Linked DNA regions of Mus musculus. The protein of the gene in region 1 interacts with the protein of each later gene in a biochemical or structural test. Links are inferred from orthologs where the notes say so. Each region holds a gene or a part of one and is shown in the gene's direction. Other genes may lie near its edges.

The links.
Region 2: the proteins of Ralgds (region 1) and Rap2a form a complex in vitro, tested with the Homo sapiens proteins (2 studies listed by BioGRID). The link is inferred for Mus musculus from reciprocal best matches to the Homo sapiens genes RALGDS and RAP2A.

What each region holds. Positions count from the first base shown.
Region 1 is NC_000068.7:28,539,685-28,543,489, forward strand, and holds part of Ralgds (ral guanine nucleotide dissociation stimulator), read left to right. Parts: intron 1-1,026; coding exon 1,027-1,137; intron 1,138-2,605; coding exon 2,606-2,799; intron 2,800-3,097; exon of another isoform or gene 3,098-3,167; coding exon of another isoform or gene 3,168-3,170; coding exon 3,171-3,266; intron 3,267-3,805. UniProt on the Homo sapiens protein: Functions as a guanine nucleotide exchange factor (GEF) activating either RalA or RalB GTPases and plays an important role in intracellular transport. Interacts and acts as an effector molecule for R-Ras, H-Ras, K-Ras, and Rap.
Region 2 is NC_000080.6:120,477,171-120,481,506, forward strand, and holds the start of Rap2a (ras-related protein Rap-2a), read left to right. Parts: upstream 1-1,290; 5' UTR 1,291-1,556; coding exon 1,557-1,870; intron 1,871-4,336. UniProt on the Homo sapiens protein: Small GTP-binding protein which cycles between a GDP-bound inactive and a GTP-bound active form. In its active form interacts with and regulates several effectors including MAP4K4, MINK1 and TNIK.

The sequences.
Region 1 (3,805 bases):
GCTGATGCTGGGTACGGCCAGGCTCCTCAGGGAAGGAAGACTCTGCCAGCCCTGACTTTTAAGAACGCTGAGCCGACACAGTGGGTGTTCCAGAGCCATGGTCTCCTTTATCTTTGCTGAAAGACTTTCTAGATTTGGGTCAGGGGTTAGCTGATGACAGTGCCACTAGTGTCTGAAGGGAAGTTCCCTGCGCTGAGGAACACATGACACTCCCACAGGGTCCAGGCCAGGATTGCTTAGGGTCATGAGCCTTCTTGTTACCCACTGACTTCCAGGAATCAGGTCCCCTCTATCCCTTCTCCAGAGGGCAGGAGTAGAGAGAGCCTGAGGTGCAAGGAAGTGAATGTTTCATTTCTGCTTTAGGCTCTGAGAAGCAGTCACATGACCCCCTTCTCCATATAGGCCTCATGATTTGGGGTTCTGTGGATCCCCAGCACTGTTGCAGTACCCCACTCACTCACATGAGGAAGAACAGCCAGCTGGGAACCCCCATGTTACCCAAGAAGTCTCAGCAGCATGAATGAGCAGAAGGGGAAGGAAGTGGCCTCAGATGTGGTCAGCGTCTGCACCTGCCCTAGAGCCATGGTGCCGACTCCAGCACTGGGCTAGAAAGAGCTGCCTGCTGCTGCCTGGTCAGCCTGGAACCTCAGATGGGACAATGAAAGAAGAGTGTGGGTGACCCTGGCCTTGGGTTCTGAGGCCAGTGCCACCTGTGACCATGCTAGGGCCTTGGCATAGGGGATCTGTCATATACACCAGACAGTTTGGCTGCCTCAGCCTCCACTTACCCGTCTCTGAAATGGCTGAATAACAGTACTGTCCAGGTAGACTGTGTTGGGCTGTCCAGTACTAAGTAGGAGCAGGTTCCTGAGATGTTGACCTTAAGGTCGTGAGGAGCCAGGTGGGAAGGGGAGTCCTGGCTCTCCATTTTCTTCGCCCTGGAAGTCCAGAAGCCACCTGTCTGTGCCATGCCCCTATAGCAGACCCCTGATGGCCTGGCCTGGCTCTTGGGCCTTGTCTTTCCAGAGCTCCACGCAGGAGATTGGGGAGGAGCTGATCAACGGGGTCATCTACTCCATCTCCCTGCGCAAGGTCCAGCTACACCAAGGAGCCACTAAGGGCCAGCGCTGGCTAGGGGTAAGTGTGGAGAGGAGACCAGGAGGGTGACCCTGCCAGACTCCTTTCCAGAGTTTTCTGTTTGAGGGCCCCAGTCCCTCTTGCGACTCTGGGCTGAGCCTCCCTCCCTTCCCCAGCCCATGCACAAAGATCCTGCTGACATCCCTACCCACAGGTGAGAAGAGAAGCCATTGGCTTTGCTTCTCATTGCCCATAAGGCCATGCATATTCAAATATTTTGCTCGGTTTAAAAGCTGTCCTCACATGTCACTCCTCCCCTCCCCTGTCCTCTTCCTCCTAGTGTCAGAAATCCTCTCACAGCAGGACTGCCCTTTGCCCTCATTGAATGGAAGTTTAGGCTTTGTAAGCGGTCTGTCTTAGGATTACTTTTTTTTTTTATTTTTATTTTAAACTCTTTTTTTTCCACTTATTTGTTTATTATATGTAAGTACACTGTAGCTTTCTTCAGACACTCCAGAAGAGAGCATCAGATTTTGTTACATATGGTTGTGAGCCATGTGGTTGCTGGGATTTGAACTTCGGACTTTCGGAAGAGCAGTCGGGTGCTCTTATCCACTGAGCCATCTCACCAGGATTACTATTGCTATAAAGAAACACCATGACCAAAAGCAAGCTGGGGAGGAAAGGGTTCATTTGGCTCACATTTTGGCATCCTCATCCATCACTGAAGGAAGTCAGGAGGGGAGAGCTGGAGCCTGGAGGCAGGAGCTGATGCAGAGGCCATGGAGGGGCGGGAGCTCCTGACTGGTTTGCTCCCATTGCTTGTTCAGCCTGCTGTCTCACGAACCCAGGCTCACCAGCCCAGGGACGGCCCCACCCACAAGGGCTGGACCCTCTCCCAGCAGTCTTGTCCACAGCAGGCTTAAGGAGGCATCTCTCAGTTGGGGGCGGGGGGTCTCTTCTCAGATGACTCTAATTTTGTCAGATGTATCAAGTTGACAAAATTCTTCAACATGTATACACTTCTCTGCAACTTGCTGTCTCAGAACAAGTCTTGTGGGTCCCTTGAGCTAAGAAGCTGAGCCTGACCGACTCAGCCACATAACATTCCAGAAGACAGCGCTGATGCCGCCACACGGCCATGCTTCACCACTGTTGCATCCAGCATGATTCTTTCCTGTGGTCATTGAACTTGCTCAGGGAACATTCTGGGTCCACCACCACCCCACCCCCGCCCCCGGAGTAAGCCTGTCTTTCCACCTCTAGGATGGACTGTTCAGTTTGGAAACATCCCCCTCCCACAGAGTATGTTAGAGAATGCTGTCACTCACCTAAGAAACCGCCCTGAAGGGCTCAACACTTCAAACTCTGCTTGAAAATCCAAGACTTTAAAACCAGAGAGAGACCCTCTGTCCCAGTTTGGGCCACATTCTGCTGAGGGTGTCCAGGAGGTGACCCGAGCTCCAGCCTCCAGCGTCCCTGAGAACATGACCCTGCTACTGACCTCGCTCTTCTCCTGTCCCCGCAGTGTGAGAACGAGTCGGCTCTGAACCTCTATGAGACCTGCAAGGTGCGCACGGTGAAGGCTGGTACTCTGGAGAAGCTGGTGGAACACCTGGTGCCTGCCTTCCAGGGCAGTGACCTTTCCTACGTCACTGTCTTCCTGTGCACCTACAGAGCCTTCACTACCACCCAGCAGGTGCTAGACCTGCTGTTCAAAAGGTGAGCACTGCCGCCAGACCCAGGACACCCTTCCTGCCGGCCGCACCTTGGGGGAGCCCAGCTTGGGGATAAGCCTCCTTTCAGGCTCCTGTCAGGGTGGGCTGCCAGGGCCTTCCTCTCCTCAGCCTCAGGTTAAGTGGGTTCCCTACATAGAAAGGAGGGGACCTCAACCTAGAACACAGAGCAAGGACGGCCCTGTGGTAATCGACTGAGAGACCTCAGGTCTGCTGAAGTGCCTCGGTTTCTAAAGCAATCTGCTGTGCGTAGCCATGTTGCCAAGCACCTAACTCTGTGACAGGAGCTGAGTCCCTGCCTCCCTGGGCCCCATTCCCATCAGGGAGTTGACCAGTAACACTAGACATCATAAGCAGGTACGGTAGATGTGACGCCCTCACGGCCTCCTCTAGATATGGCTGCATCCTCCCCTACTCCAGTGAGGACGGCGGACCGCAGGACCAACTCAAAAAGTAAGTAGGCTTTACGTCCAGAGGGGAGGTTTAGGGAACAAGGGTCGAGCAAACTATAGGCCCACACATGTGGTTCCTGATGCTGGGCTAAGGTCTAAGGCTACCCCTGTGTCAGATGGAAGAGGAGGGGTGTGTGTGTGTGTGTGTGTGTGTGTGTGTGTGTGTGTGTGTGTGTGTGTGAAAGAGAGAGAGAGATTGATTGATTGATTCAGAACCAGTCACTGTGAAAATCCTTCCCTAGCATAGCCTGTCTCAATAGACGTGCAGCCTCACTCCTTAAGAATGGGCATTTAGCTGGTCCCTGAGTCCCTCAGGAAAATGCAACCCATACCTGGCTTACAAAGAATAGGTACTGAGGTAACCCTTGCCACTGGTTGAATGGCAGGCCCTTTGGGCATCTCCATTCCAGTAGAGTTGGGCAGGAGTGGGAACCGGGTGAGCCACCATCCCATTGATGAGCCTTTGCTGCCTCCTGTAGGACCCTCTGTAGCCTCTGTCTAGTTACTTGGACAGCCAAAGGGGACTTGTGGGTGGAGGCA
Region 2 (4,336 bases), on another chromosome or scaffold:
ACATTTGAGGAGGCATGATCGGAGGACCACAGCAACTGCTGCCAGATGGATGTCTCCTGAGGGACCGGAAAATTTCTCACCCTGAAGACAAAAGTCCCAGTTTTCTCGATTCAGCCCACGATCCAGCCCGCATCCTCTGCCACCACTTCCATGCCCATCTCCAGGCAGAATGCCACGGAGGCGACGTTAGAACAGAACTCATCCCTCTTGTCTGCCAACGCAACCCGCTCCGGTGCCAGAACACCAGGGGGTCGGGCGCTCGAACCCTGCCCCTCCCAGTTCCCCAGCAGCCCTGCACTGTCTCCACAGTGCAGGTTTGATTGGCTCCGCCCAGCCCTCTGTCACTCCTCAGTTGGCCTACGATTGGGTACCAGGCCGTGCGCAAGCGCAAACTCTCAGCCCCTCCAGGCCCCGGAGGGGAGTTGGCTCAGTCTATCACTGGGTCTTACACCAATTGGTTAGCAAGATGAGACGCCTTTTCATTGGTCAAGAGTGGTAGTCTAGAGTCCGGACTCACAATCTGATTGGCTACAGTGAATCCGAGCTTCCGCGCAGACACCCCCGCAGGCTGTTGCTGAGATGTTCTGGGGTCTCCCGACAGTGGGGGGCGGATCCGAGCTCCAGGTTTTCCAGGCGCCCAAGGCTGTCTACCAGCCCGGGGGGAGGAGCTCGGCTTACGTCAAACTCGACAAGGGCGGGGCTAGAGGGCGGGCCGGTGACGTCATCGGGCGCGGACCGGGTTTGCGTGTAGCCTGGGCGCCACGGACTAGCCGAGCTTCGATTTGCTTGTGTAACTCATGGCGGCGGCCCTTAAGGCTCACGTCGTTACGTATAACGGGATCAAGCCAAAGCTCTCCGAAGGCTGACAGGCTGAGTCATGTATGTCAGCCATAGGCCGGCCCGTCCTGAGGTCCCCAAGCACGGTGCGCACGGCTTCCTAAGCCCACGGTCCCTCCACCGTCACCTCCCGCAAACCCCCGAGCGTGGGCGTCTGACGTTGCCTGCCTTCGGGCGGAGGAGAGCGCGCAGACGCAGTACGGAGGCCGGTCAGGCTGGGTGTTGCCGGGTGTCGCGGAAGCCGGTCTTCTCTGGAGCGCGCGGACGGTCGCTAGGCGACGGCGCGAGGGGCGGGCTTTCTTATAGACCCCTCCCACCCGGCTGGCTCCGCCCCGGGCAGCGCTGCGGCTGGGCTCGGGCGCGCGCTCCAGCGCTGGGGAAGCGGCGGCGGCGGCGGCAGCAGCGGCGGCGGGAGCTGGGCGTGGAGGCGCGAGGGGCGGGGCGGGCGGCATTGCGGGCCCGCGGTTCGGGCGGCTCCGGCTCGAGGTCGAGCTCTGTTGCTGCTCTCGCCCTCGGGGCTGCATCGTCCTCCCGCTTGGCCCGCTCACAGGGCCGCGCACGACTCGTTCAGCTGCAGCCCCGCTGCCGGCGCCCGGGGCGCTGCCGCGGCCGTGAGCCGACGAGTCCGTAAGGGCGGCGGGGCCGCGGGGTCGGGGCGCGGCGCGCGGGCGCAGGTCTATGTCGCGGGCGGCGGCGGCGGCGGCGGCCGCGCAGGGACGATGCGCGAGTACAAAGTGGTGGTGCTGGGCTCGGGCGGGGTAGGCAAATCCGCCCTGACCGTGCAGTTCGTGACCGGCACCTTCATTGAGAAATACGACCCCACCATCGAGGACTTCTACCGCAAGGAGATCGAGGTGGACTCCTCGCCTTCGGTGCTGGAGATCCTGGACACCGCGGGCACCGAGCAGTTCGCGTCCATGCGGGACCTGTACATCAAGAACGGCCAGGGCTTCATCCTGGTCTACAGCTTGGTCAACCAGCAGAGCTTCCAAGACATCAAGCCCATGCGGGACCAGATCATCCGCGTGAAGCGGTGAGCAGAGCGGGGCACACGGGGCTCGGTGGCTGCGGCGATCCCGGTCCTTGGCTTGCCCGGGCTACACCACCTCCTCCAGGGGCTCAGATTTGTGGGCTTTGTTTCACAAGTGAAATTGGGCATCCTGTTAACCCTCAGCCCAGCCCTTTGTCTCTAGGACGTTGGTAGCGCTTCTTCGGGACCCTAGAAAGAACAAAGTTTCAAACTTGCAAGGAAAGAAGGGATGAGTAGGTGGGCGCTAGGGAAAGGGGAGCTGTCTTAGTGTAGGCACGCCTGTGAAGAGTGAGCGCGCGCTTAAATGCACCCGTAAGAGGTTTGACAGCCGAAATTTGTACATACATATCTTGTGACAGTGTCAATACTAAGTTAGGGGGGACCTTTCTCGTTGCGGAAAAGATTAAATGTTGCCAGGAGGTTGGCAGAAATGGATTAGTGCAAAACTTTAAAGACACATTGGCAAATAATTTGAAGACCACACAACATTCAGTTGGCTTGGCATATAGAAGCACACTTGTGACATTTACGCGGAGAGCGTGCAGATTCAGTTCTCTTTCTCTCTTAAAAGCTAGCCTCCTCATCCCCCCCCCGCACCCCCCCCCCGAAAAAAAAAAGAACAGGGAAGGAGGCTATTCTTGGAAAACAAACAGAAGTTTAGTCTGAGTTCTGGCTTGTGTATCAGCTAATTTAAAGTTAATGCAAAAAAAAAAAAAAAAAGAAGAAGAAGAAGAAGAAGAAGAAGAAGCAAACAAGCTTTTTCCTGATATAAAGTGTTCAAAGGATGTATTTTTGCATGTGGCTGGTGACCTGAATGCTTTTAGTGTTTGTTCTCTCTTAAGTTGATGCTATGCATTTTCCCCTTAACCTTTTAAATACTGAAAGTCTAACATGTTACTACAGAGTTCTGGCATCATTTTCTAGTTCTTCTTTACTGATAACGCTCCTCTCTGGTCCTTATTAACTAATACTACTGACAGTCTTCCAGGATTATTTTACCTGTAGCTACATTTGAAGTCACCATTGAAGGTTTAGGTAGAAACAATCACACTTATCCATCATTTGGGGTTTATACACTTCAGAGCTCAGAGCAAGTTATTTGTATTCAGGGAGTACTTAAAAATTCCTTCCAAGTGGTGTTTTTTTTTTTTTTTTTTTTTTTTTTTAGTGGTGGGTTTTTAACCCTGTACAGAGGTCAAAGGAAATGCCCTCTCCTCAGTGCCTGCTCCAGCCAGACTAGAAATTTCTGTATTCCCGCATTAAATTCCAAATCACAAAGCAGTGGCTATGATTATGATCTTTTCCCAAAGTTGGTGACACTGGTAGCCTTAACTTCTCTAGTGTTATTTTTTAGAAATGTGTTTCCTTGTGTGGTACACACGTGTGGGTGTGTTAATACGTTTGTCTCGAAGTTGTTTACAGATCATGATGTAAGTGCTGCAGTTGTCCCACCTTCACACCCAGTGCATGCCCACACGTCTGTGCTAAGATCCCCAATGGCATGGGCCACATCATGTCGGAGTTTCTGTTGGCTTCGTGTAGCTCACGTTTCTCAGTTATAATGATGGGCCAGTTTATTTACTAGAGCAGTCCGTTGGCATCTCAACCCAGGACAACAGACTGAGATTGGGATTCTATTCACCCAGGGTCACTAGTTGCAGCTCTTGATGTAAGAAGAGCAGTGATGAGCTGAGTTGAGTTGAGCAACTTCCTGTGGGGTAAATGTTGTGTCATTAGAGCCTCTCTGGACCCACTTTCTTTTTTTCTTCTTTTCTTTTCTTTTCTTTTTTTTCTTTTTTTTTTTTTTTTTTTTTTTTTTTTGAGACAGGTTCTCTATGTTGGCCTGGCTGTCCTGGAACTCACCATTCATACCAGGCTGACCTCAAATCCATAGAGATTCTCCTGCCTCTGCCATGGGGCACTGAGATTAAAAGGTCCGTGTCCAGCTTGGGCCCCTACTTCTATGTCCTGGTTTTTGTACCTCACCCTAAGTTCATCATTTGCCTTCCAGGTCCGGGTGAGCTGTAGGTTATTCCCATTGTACAGCAGTGTATAAGGCAATACTCAAACCTGCTGTGGGGGCACGCAACTCCTCTCAAGAGAAAGCATGGGTTTACATTAGTGCATTTTCTACTCTTTGGGGGACCAGTTCCTTAACTACTCAGTTGCTATAGGAAGTATTCAGTAATTCCATCTTCTGCCCATTGTGTGCCAGCTGTCTGCTTTACATATGACATACAAGAGCTTTGGGGCGGTTAGTTACAGTGCCATAGTGCAGTTGGCATAACTGAAAGGCTATGGCTTGATAACTCACCAATTACTGATAAAGAGAATTTTTAAGATGTCTGAGTCCATATAGCCTCTTCTACACAGGTGTGTCTTTCAGCTGCTAATACATTTCTTCAACCAGCTAACTATAAAGTATTATCACTTTAATATGCCACACAGTATTAAACTTATTCAGCTCCT